Linked DNA regions of Arabidopsis thaliana. The protein of the gene in region 1 interacts with the protein of each later gene in a pairwise test. Each region holds a gene or a part of one and is shown in the gene's direction. Other genes may lie near its edges.

The links. The genes of interacting proteins can lie anywhere in the genome.
Region 2: the proteins of CDKE;1 (region 1) and AT5G48630 interact in a two-hybrid assay, tested with the Arabidopsis thaliana proteins (one study listed by BioGRID).

What each region holds. Positions count from the first base shown.
Region 1 is NC_003076.8:25,462,430-25,467,633, reverse strand, and holds CDKE;1 (cyclin-dependent kinase E;1), read left to right. Parts: upstream 1-1,711; 5' UTR 1,712-1,911; intron 1,912-2,471; 5' UTR 2,472-2,576; coding exon 2,577-3,989; 3' UTR 3,990-4,272; downstream 4,273-5,204. Other genes in the region: AT5G63620 (GroES-like zinc-binding alcohol dehydrogenase family protein), read left to right, coding at 59-152, 240-453, 547-688, 770-947, 1,070-1,254. UniProt on the Arabidopsis thaliana protein: Involved in cell differentiation. Required for the specification of stamen and carpel identities and for the proper termination of stem cells in the floral meristem.
Region 2 is NC_003076.8:19,721,003-19,725,078, reverse strand, and holds AT5G48630 (Cyclin family protein), read left to right. Parts: upstream 1-1,910; 5' UTR 1,911-1,959; coding exon 1,960-2,107; intron 2,108-2,220; coding exon 2,221-2,260; intron 2,261-2,353; coding exon 2,354-2,398; intron 2,399-2,478; coding exon 2,479-2,597; intron 2,598-2,688; coding exon 2,689-2,803; intron 2,804-2,902; coding exon 2,903-2,953; intron 2,954-3,076; coding exon 3,077-3,224; intron 3,225-3,311; coding exon 3,312-3,416; 3' UTR 3,417-3,576; downstream 3,577-4,076. Other genes in the region: AT5G48640 (Cyclin family protein), read left to right, coding at 50-94, 289-407, 516-630, 884-934, 1,054-1,201, 1,322-1,426.

The sequences.
Region 1 (5,204 bases):
TCGGATTCTCTAATCTGAGAACTGTAGCTTTTTAGCTGATATTTTAATTTGGATACAGGGCCATGATGATCTATGTGAAGACTTCTTTGCTTACAACAGAGCCAAGGGAACTCTTTACGATGGCGAAACTCGTCTCTTTTTGCGACATGATGGTAAATTTGAAGACTTTTTAAACATCAGGTGGCATATTAGGAGAACTGTGATTGTTTTACCTAATTACATTTCTTAATTTCTGGCAGATTCACCAGTGTATATGTATAGTATGGGAGGGATGGCTGAGTACTGTGTTACACCAGCTCATGGTTTAGCTCCTCTACCAGAGTCTTTGCCCTACTCTGAATCTGCCATTCTGGGATGTGCTGTTTTTACAGCATATGGTGCTATGGCTCATGCTGCTGAGATCCGTCCTGGAGATTCTATTGCAGTTATTGGAATTGGTGGTGTGGGCTCCAGGTATGTTAAATGTGTGGCATTTTCTTTTCTTTACCGGATTTGGGTTTTATTGCTTCTTGTATGACCATAACCATCTTTGAGTTGTTGCTTCAGTTGTTTGCAGATCGCAAGGGCTTTTGGAGCCTCGGATATCATTGCTGTGGATGTTCAGGATGATAAATTACAGAAGGCCAAGACACTTGGTGCTACTCATATTGTCAATGCTGCTAAAGAAGATGCTGTTGAAAGGATAAGAGTATGGTTGATTCAAGACCTCTTATTTGTGAAGATGAACCATTGATTGATATAAATATGAAAAACTGTTTCTTCTTCGTAGGAAATAACCGGTGGGATGGGTGTTGATGTTGCTGTTGAAGCCTTGGGAAAGCCTCAAACTTTCATGCAGTGCACACTAAGTGTGAAAGATGGTGGAAAAGCTGTGATGATTGGACTCTCACAAGCTGGTTCCGTTGGAGAAATTGACATAAATCGACTTGTTCGTAGAAAGGTTTGGGGTTCTTACTCTCTCTCTCTCGGCCTTGTTAGAAGAAAGTCTCTGGTACTGAGATTGTCTTTTAAGATCATGATATTGAATCTCTTTTTGTTCTGTTTTTCCAATTTTTTGTGAAGATAAAAGTTATAGGATCTTATGGAGGAAGAGCAAGACAGGATCTTCCTAAAGTAGTGAAATTGGCAGAGTCAGGGATTTTCAATCTCACAAACGCAGTCTCAAGTAAATACAAGTTTGAAGATGCAGGAAAAGCATTTCAAGATCTCAACGAAGGCAAAATCGTGAGCCGAGGTGTTGTTGAGATACTATAACCAATATAGCCTTTTGATTCTGGTTTGTGAATGACTGCTTCACACCTGTTTCACTGAGGTCTATTTTTAGTTGCTACAATCTTCAGACAAGGTCATTGTTAATCTGATATTTGTGTTTGTTTAGACAGTGAAAAGGAAAAAAAAAAACTGTAGTAACTGGACAAAATTTATAATTTTACTGTTTTTCATTTCTTTCCAACATTTATTGTTTTTCTATACTGTTAATATTTTTAATTTCTTCCCTCTTTTCACAATTTTCTACTTTCTAAGAATATTAATAACTGACATATATATAAAAAAACACAATTTATTTCTCTTTTGATAAAATTATCTATAAATCATTAAATCTTTGATGAGAAATATCCAATCTACTAATGTATATCGATGATTTAAATGAAATTACTTATTTGAACACAAAAATAAATGAATTTACTAATAAATAAATAGCGTAGTTGGAGCAAGTGGCTAAAAAAATTACAAATCTAGTTTCCATTCTCAGCGTCGGCTGCTTGGAACGTCACCGTTTTCTGGAAAACGCAATCTTCTCCCTTCCGTGACGTCTCACCGGAATTTTCTCGCTTTTGTCTACTCTCCTCCATCTCCGAGGTTCTCCAAGCTCAGCTCCTCTTCCCATCATTCATCCGACCGCCTTATCCGGTCAGATCCTTTACGTATTTCTATTTTCCTGATCGTCGATTTTTGAGAAATGTAAAAACAGATCGTATAAGGCCTCGAAGTTTTTAATTTGAAAGTGGTATCGAAATTTTTTGGTCTTTGATTAGGTTAGGGCACCGTAGCTCTGGGTATTGAATTTGTAGGGTTTTCCTCTGGTTATTGGTCTTTGGAGCTTGGTAATTTCTGCTGAATTGATTGATCCCTTTTCCATCTTTTGAAGTAAAGTCTCGAGCTTTCGTGTCTCGATGTAGATGAATTCTATTTTGAATATGAGATTTGATAAGACGTCAATTGCTGATAATTTGGAGTCTTTGTGTCTGAATTTGTTCATATGAAGTTTTCTGAGGGATGTGAATTTTATTGTCTGCTAATTTTGAAACGTTCCTTTTGGAATTTGGTTTGTGAGGAGTCCTAGATCTTTTTCTGTGAAGTTTCTTGCTTGTAAGTTTTCTGGATCACTTGATTGAGTCTAGAATCTAGATAGATTACATGTACGGTTTGATTCCTTTGGCTGATTTTCCAAAGTTTTGTTCAAATTTCAGGAGAACTACAAAGAGGAAACCAAGATTGTTTTGTTTTGTTAGACTCTACCCCTTTTCCGATTCACATGGTAAGGACATTGAGGTAGAGAATAATACTAAAAAGCAATGGGAGATGGGAGTTCCAGTAGATCCAACAGCTCAAACAGCACTAGTGAGAAACCAGAGTGGCTGCAACAGTACAATCTCGTTGGTAAGATTGGTGAAGGCACTTATGGTCTTGTTTTCTTGGCTAGAACCAAGACTCCGCCTAAAAGACCTATTGCTATCAAGAAGTTTAAGCAGTCCAAAGATGGAGATGGAGTTTCCCCGACTGCTATCCGCGAGATCATGTTGCTTAGAGAGATTTCCCATGAGAACGTCGTGAAGCTTGTGAATGTCCACATCAATTTTGCAGACATGTCTCTGTATCTTGCCTTTGATTATGCCGAGTACGATCTCTATGAAATCATCAGGCACCACAGAGACAAAGTCGGCCATTCGTTAAACACATACACAGTTAAGTCTTTGCTCTGGCAGCTTCTCAACGGATTGAACTATCTTCACAGTAATTGGATTATACACAGAGATTTGAAACCGTCGAATATCTTGGTTATGGGTGATGCAGAAGAGCACGGAATAGTGAAAATAGCTGATTTCGGGCTCGCAAGGATATATCAAGCTCCGTTGAAACCACTATCGGATAACGGAGTTGTGGTCACAATCTGGTACCGAGCACCAGAGCTGCTTCTTGGTTCGAAGCACTACACGAGCGCTGTTGATATGTGGGCAGTTGGGTGTATATTCGCGGAGTTACTAACTCTTAAACCGTTGTTTCAAGGAGCAGAAGCGAAATCGTCTCAAAACCCTTTCCAGTTAGATCAACTTGACAAGATATTCAAGATCTTAGGCCACCCGACGATGGATAAATGGCCAACACTAGTTAACCTTCCACACTGGCAAAATGATGTTCAACACATTCAAGCTCACAAATACGACAGTGTGGGTCTCCACAACGTGGTTCACCTGAATCAGAAAAGTCCTGCGTATGATCTGTTATCCAAAATGCTGGAATATGATCCTCTAAAGCGGATCACGGCTTCACAAGCACTAGAACACGAGTATTTCCGAATGGATCCTCTCCCAGGACGGAACGCATTTGTAGCCAGCCAACCGATGGAGAAGAATGTGAATTACCCAACTCGTCCAGTAGATACAAACACCGATTTCGAAGGCACGACAAGCATCAATCCGCCTCAAGCAGTAGCAGCAGGAAACGTAGCAGGGAACATGGCAGGAGCTCATGGAATGGGCAGTAGATCGATGCCAAGACCAATGGTTGCACATAACATGCAGAGGATGCAGCAATCTCAAGGCATGATGGCTTATAATTTCCCGGCACAGGCAGGGCTTAACCCGAGTGTTCCGCTGCAGCAGCAGCGCGGGATGGCTCAACCGCACCAGCAGCAACAGCTAAGAAGGAAAGATCCCGGAATGGGTATGTCAGGTTACGCACCTCCTAACAAATCCAGACGCCTCTAAAGGTAAAATCGAGATCATCAGTCTCGGGTTAGAATCTGTGTGTTTGCCGCAGAAGAAAGCGTTGCGATTTGCTTTATAGAGTAGAGTTAGATTGTAATGCAGCATGTGGAATGTTGCTATTCATATGGATGGATTGGATTCTCTGTAGTTTTTGTATAAACATCCTCTCAAGTATTTGTTAATTATATTAGATCATCATTTCTCTTAACATCATTTCTCAAAACGTAGTAAATAGGAGATTTGCCAAGTGAAAAATATATATAATGAGACAGTTATTATGAACACAATTTACAGTTATTATGAACACAATTTTGGTGATGTTTCTACTGTTTATGAAATTTGTTTTTTTTTTACCTGCCAGTCTTATCTATTTACCACCAACATACATTAGAATCTAATGTAATTACATCATCAATCATAGACCTAATGAATATTTAATACCACACAGTTTAAACATTGCTATTAAAGTTTGAAAAGATTATACTTTAGTAAAATAATGTTTTCAAACTTGTATTCAATTATACTACGTAAGCAGTGATCCAATTATTACGAACATAATACTTTTCCAAATCAAAATTTTGTTTTTGTTCACCTTACCATCAGTTTCATAATAGAAATATTATATATATACAACACAAACAAATGAATGAGAAATGTTTTTCTATTATTATGACTTTTATTTAAGATTCAAAAGAACGAAGAAGAGTTATATATATGCTTGTTTGTTTCAGGACAAATACAATAAATAAGTGGATAAGAAAACCACAAACCTTGAACTAGCCTGAAATGTGTGAACCAAGCTATACAAACTGTACGTGATTCTGCATCGTGGAAGTCACAAACAGACTTCTGACTTCTGCTAAAGATAAAACTCACTGTTTGCAAGCAATTTAGTATAAATATGAAGCATTGACCTACCAAGATCGACACAATCACACAGTTTCTTCTTAATTAAACCTAGCTATTTTTGTCTTTAGCAGAAGTCAGAAAGCTAGTTTTGTATTTTTCTTATTTCTTAAATATATGGCGGCCAATGTTATGAGACGGTTTATGATTTAAAGATACACAATGGACCCACGACGTTGCCATAATACAATTATTAGGCTGTTAATTAACGTGATCGTTACGTTTGCTACAAACTAGCTAGTTGTGTCTTCTTTATTTTAGTAGATAAGTATAAGAGTCTAAAAATATTACAACCCAATAATGGTTACA
Region 2 (4,076 bases), 5.7 Mb from region 1:
AACCTGGACTTGTATATGAATCGTCGCCTTGGTTTTTCTACTTATGTAGGGTTGTAGCTACTGCAATTACGTATATGAGACGGGTTTATATCAGGTATGCAATGTATTTTTGATATGATCGTATACATCAATGTGCATCTTTGTGTATGTGAGGAATGAAATGAGTTAAATTCTTGTCATGCCAGTGTCTCTCTATGTTGCATCTCTGCTATCAAAAACGTTAACTGTGTTACGAAAGTTTTCAGTTTTGGTGTCTAATATCTTCCTTTTGTTACTATACTATCTCAGAAAGAGTATGGTAGAGTTTGAGCCTCGACTTGTTGCTCTTACGTGCTTGTACCTGGCATCTAAAGCTGAAGAAAGCATAGTGCAGGCCAGGAATCTTGTTTTTTACATCAAAAGATTGTGTAATATCTTCTTCTTCTGTTTTTTTATTTTTCAAATCATGAGAGTACCTCCCCTTCAATATGCTTTTTTTTGACATATCGACGACAACGGTTCTTATATCTTTGCAGATCCTGATGAGTACAACAAATATGAACTAAAGGATATATTAGGAATGGAGATGAAGGTGTTAGAAGCACTAGATTATTATCTGGTTGTGTTTCACCCTTACCGGTCATTATCGGAGTATGTCCACTCATCTCTCTTATCCGCTTTTCGGAAGCTTTGAACATGTTTGCCTTATTGTCTGTGGTTACAAACGGAGAAGTGTAAATGATGATACATGTAAAAACTTGCAGTCTTCCCATACAATGTTCTTGATGTTTCTCATTATATCAAAATTTTGGACCACCTTAATATTTCCTTGGTGAGAGTTTTGTGTGCCTTGATGGTCAGAAAATCAACACTCATTCTAATACTTCATTCTTTTGATTTCTAGGTTTTTGCAAGATGCTGCATTAAACGATGTAAATATGAACCAGATTACATGGTAAGTCCTTCTATATGAGATATATTGCATAGAACTCAATTCCTAGCTCCAACCTTAAAATCTAAGAGATCTCTGACCTGTATAAAAAGCATTTTGAAAACCTATTTTCCGTGTTTCAGGGGAATTGTTAATGATACTTATAAGATGGACCTCATTCTTGTACACCCTCCCTACCGCATAGCGCTAGCATGCATATACATAGCAAGTGTCCACAGAGAGAAAGATATCACTGCATGGTTTGAAGATCTTCATGAGGACATGAACTTGGTCAGTCATTCTTCTAAAAGTTATTCAATCATTAGTTAAAGCGAATAGCTATGATCTTTTGCGTGATTTTCGGTATTCTTTAGTGACTTTGAAAGCTCTACATGGGGCAATGGGTTGCAGGTAAAGAATATTGCCATGGAGATACTGGACTTCTATGAGAACTACAGAACAATCACAGAGGAAAAAGTGAATTCTGCCTTCAGCAAATTGGCTTTGAAGCTGTAGAGAATCACCTCCATCTCCAAGACTTATCGCACAGAAAAAAATGATTAGAGACTTCCACAATTGCCCATCCATCTAGCTTTGTGGCAAACATGTAACACTGTTATTACCAAACCTATTAATCTTAAAGTAAACATTATTGTTAATTGTTCATCATAATGGGTTTGTTTTCCCTTTTATTTTCTCCAAAACCTAAACCTCTCGTAGAAGCAAAAATGTGAAATAAAACAAAGGTCAAATTGATGAAGATGAGAAATATGAAAAAAAAAAAAAGATTTCATATAAGAATTTTAAAAACTTTTTTTGGTAAATAATTTTTTTTCTATCAAAAAAGATAAATACTGAATTATTACTTTTTTTGTTTTGTATTTTTCCTTGGTGGTCTTTATGCTCTCATTATCCACACCATAAAAATAAAAAGCTTGTATTTTTGAAGTTGAAGGATCAAAGAAGCTATGGCTTCCAATTTCTGGACTTCGACGCACTAGTAAGTTTCAATCAATGATTAAAGATCGTCTTTTTTTAATTCAATTTCCATGTTCCTGATTGATTCGTTTTGTGGGTTTTATTTTCACAGCAAAGAGCTTAAGGACCCAGAAGAGGTTAATGTTGTTCATCCTCTTGATGCTCAGAGAGGAATCTCTGTTGAAGATTTCAGACTCATTAAGCTTCATATGTCTAATTGTATGTTTTCATTGGATTTGATTACCTTGTTAATTAATTTCCAGATTGGATTTAACATCTCTAATGTCATGAATCATGTTTTTCGTGTTTTCCTTGTTGTTATTTGATTTCAGATATATCGAAACTGGCACAACACATTAAGATTAGGCAAAGGTGAAGTCTTTCGTTGTTAGTCTTAAAGAGATATGGAATGTGCTATGACCCTTTGAACAATGCTGACTGATTTTTAGCACTTTTATGATTCAGAGTTGTTGCAACTGCAGTAACCTATATGCGTCGTGTTTACACAAGGTATGGCTTCTTTGGTAATCGTTGTGTAGCACGAGGCTTGGTCATTTGATTTATGGGTACTGTTGTGTGTGTTTTGACAGAAAGAGTTTGACGGAATATGAGCCTCGGCTTGTTGCTCCTACATGCTTGTATTTGGCTTGCAAAGCAGAAGAGAGTGTGGTGCATGCCAAACTTCTTGTCTTCTACATGAAAAAACTTTGTAAATTCTTTTTTGTTTTCTGCTTCCAAAATTTTCTTGAGTTTTTTTTGTCTGAGTTTCTGATGAGATTGGATGCTTTCACTCTCTGTAGATGCGGATGAAAAGTTTCGATATGAGATTAAAGATATTCTGGAAATGGAGATGAAGGTCTTGGAAGCATTGAACTTCTATCTTGTTGTATTCCACCCATATCGATCTCTGCCTGAGTAAGTCGTTTGCTTAGGATCATATGTGTCGTCATCGAAATCTTTTTGCCATTATACTCTGCATTTCGTTTTGATTATTCCTTCTTGCATTACTTGCAGGTTCTTGCAGGATTCTGGAATCAATGACACTAGTATGACCCATCTAACTTGGTAAGTGTCCAAAACTTTTGTCCTTCATTAAGCTTCTTGGAAGAGAGCCTAAACAGGTTTTGATTTGCAAGCAAAAAAGTAAATGCTCTCTTGATGCTTTAAGTTTTGTTGTGGAAACTTTAGGGGTCTTGTCAACGACACATATAGAATGGACCTCATCCTTATACATCCGCCGTTTCTCATAACACTCGCTTGCATTTACATTGCTTCTGTACACAAAGAGAAAGACATAAAGACATGGTTTGAAGAGCTTTCTGTCGACATGAACATTGTAAGTCCATGCACTGTTATCTCTGTTGTTACTAGAAGGCATGGTCTTGTTTAGTTGTTCATCGGAATGTTGTGAACATATTGGCAGGTGAAGAATATTGCAATGGAGATATTAGATTTCTATGAAAACCATAGACTGTTCACGGAAGAGAGAGTTCACGCCGCCTTCAACAAACTTGCTACAAACCCATAAAGTTTCGACTTGTCTGTGTGTTTTGTTCCCTTGAGAAAATATAATGTTTTGCCAGAAGTTTTGGAAATGAGATTATTCTGTTTATTGTACATCAGTTTTGCTCGTCTTGGTTCAACCATGTCTTGCCTCTGCGTATACACAGTAAAAGAGGTGCAAAACTAACAAAACGTCAAAAAAAACTGACAAGATTTGATGGTGTAAATAGAGCTTACAAAACGAACTGGGTTAAATCACAAACGAGAAAGCAAAACGCAATTCTTAAAATATATCCAAATTTTACAATAAACAGAAAATATCCAAATTTTACAAGTTTCGTTTCTCCATTTTGTAAAAGAGTTCTCAAGCAAGTTCCATGCATCCACATCAAAAACAAACAACAATATAAGCATTGTTTCTATAATATAGTTCTGAGCTACACAACATAACGATTCACTGAAAGCGAGAGCTCCAAGACTGGAAACGTAATCATTAATACTTGAGGATCTGTATTCTTCATAAGCTATTCTTCGGAAAAACCTGTTGATCAGCTGATGACTTTTGTGAAGCAGCCTCTATCTCTCCCAATATAAGAGAATTTGGCTCGCTTCTTGGTCTTTCCTGCATCTATTTCAAAGATGATCGATGCTGGAACAATGTATAGTCGTTGAGACTGTCCACATG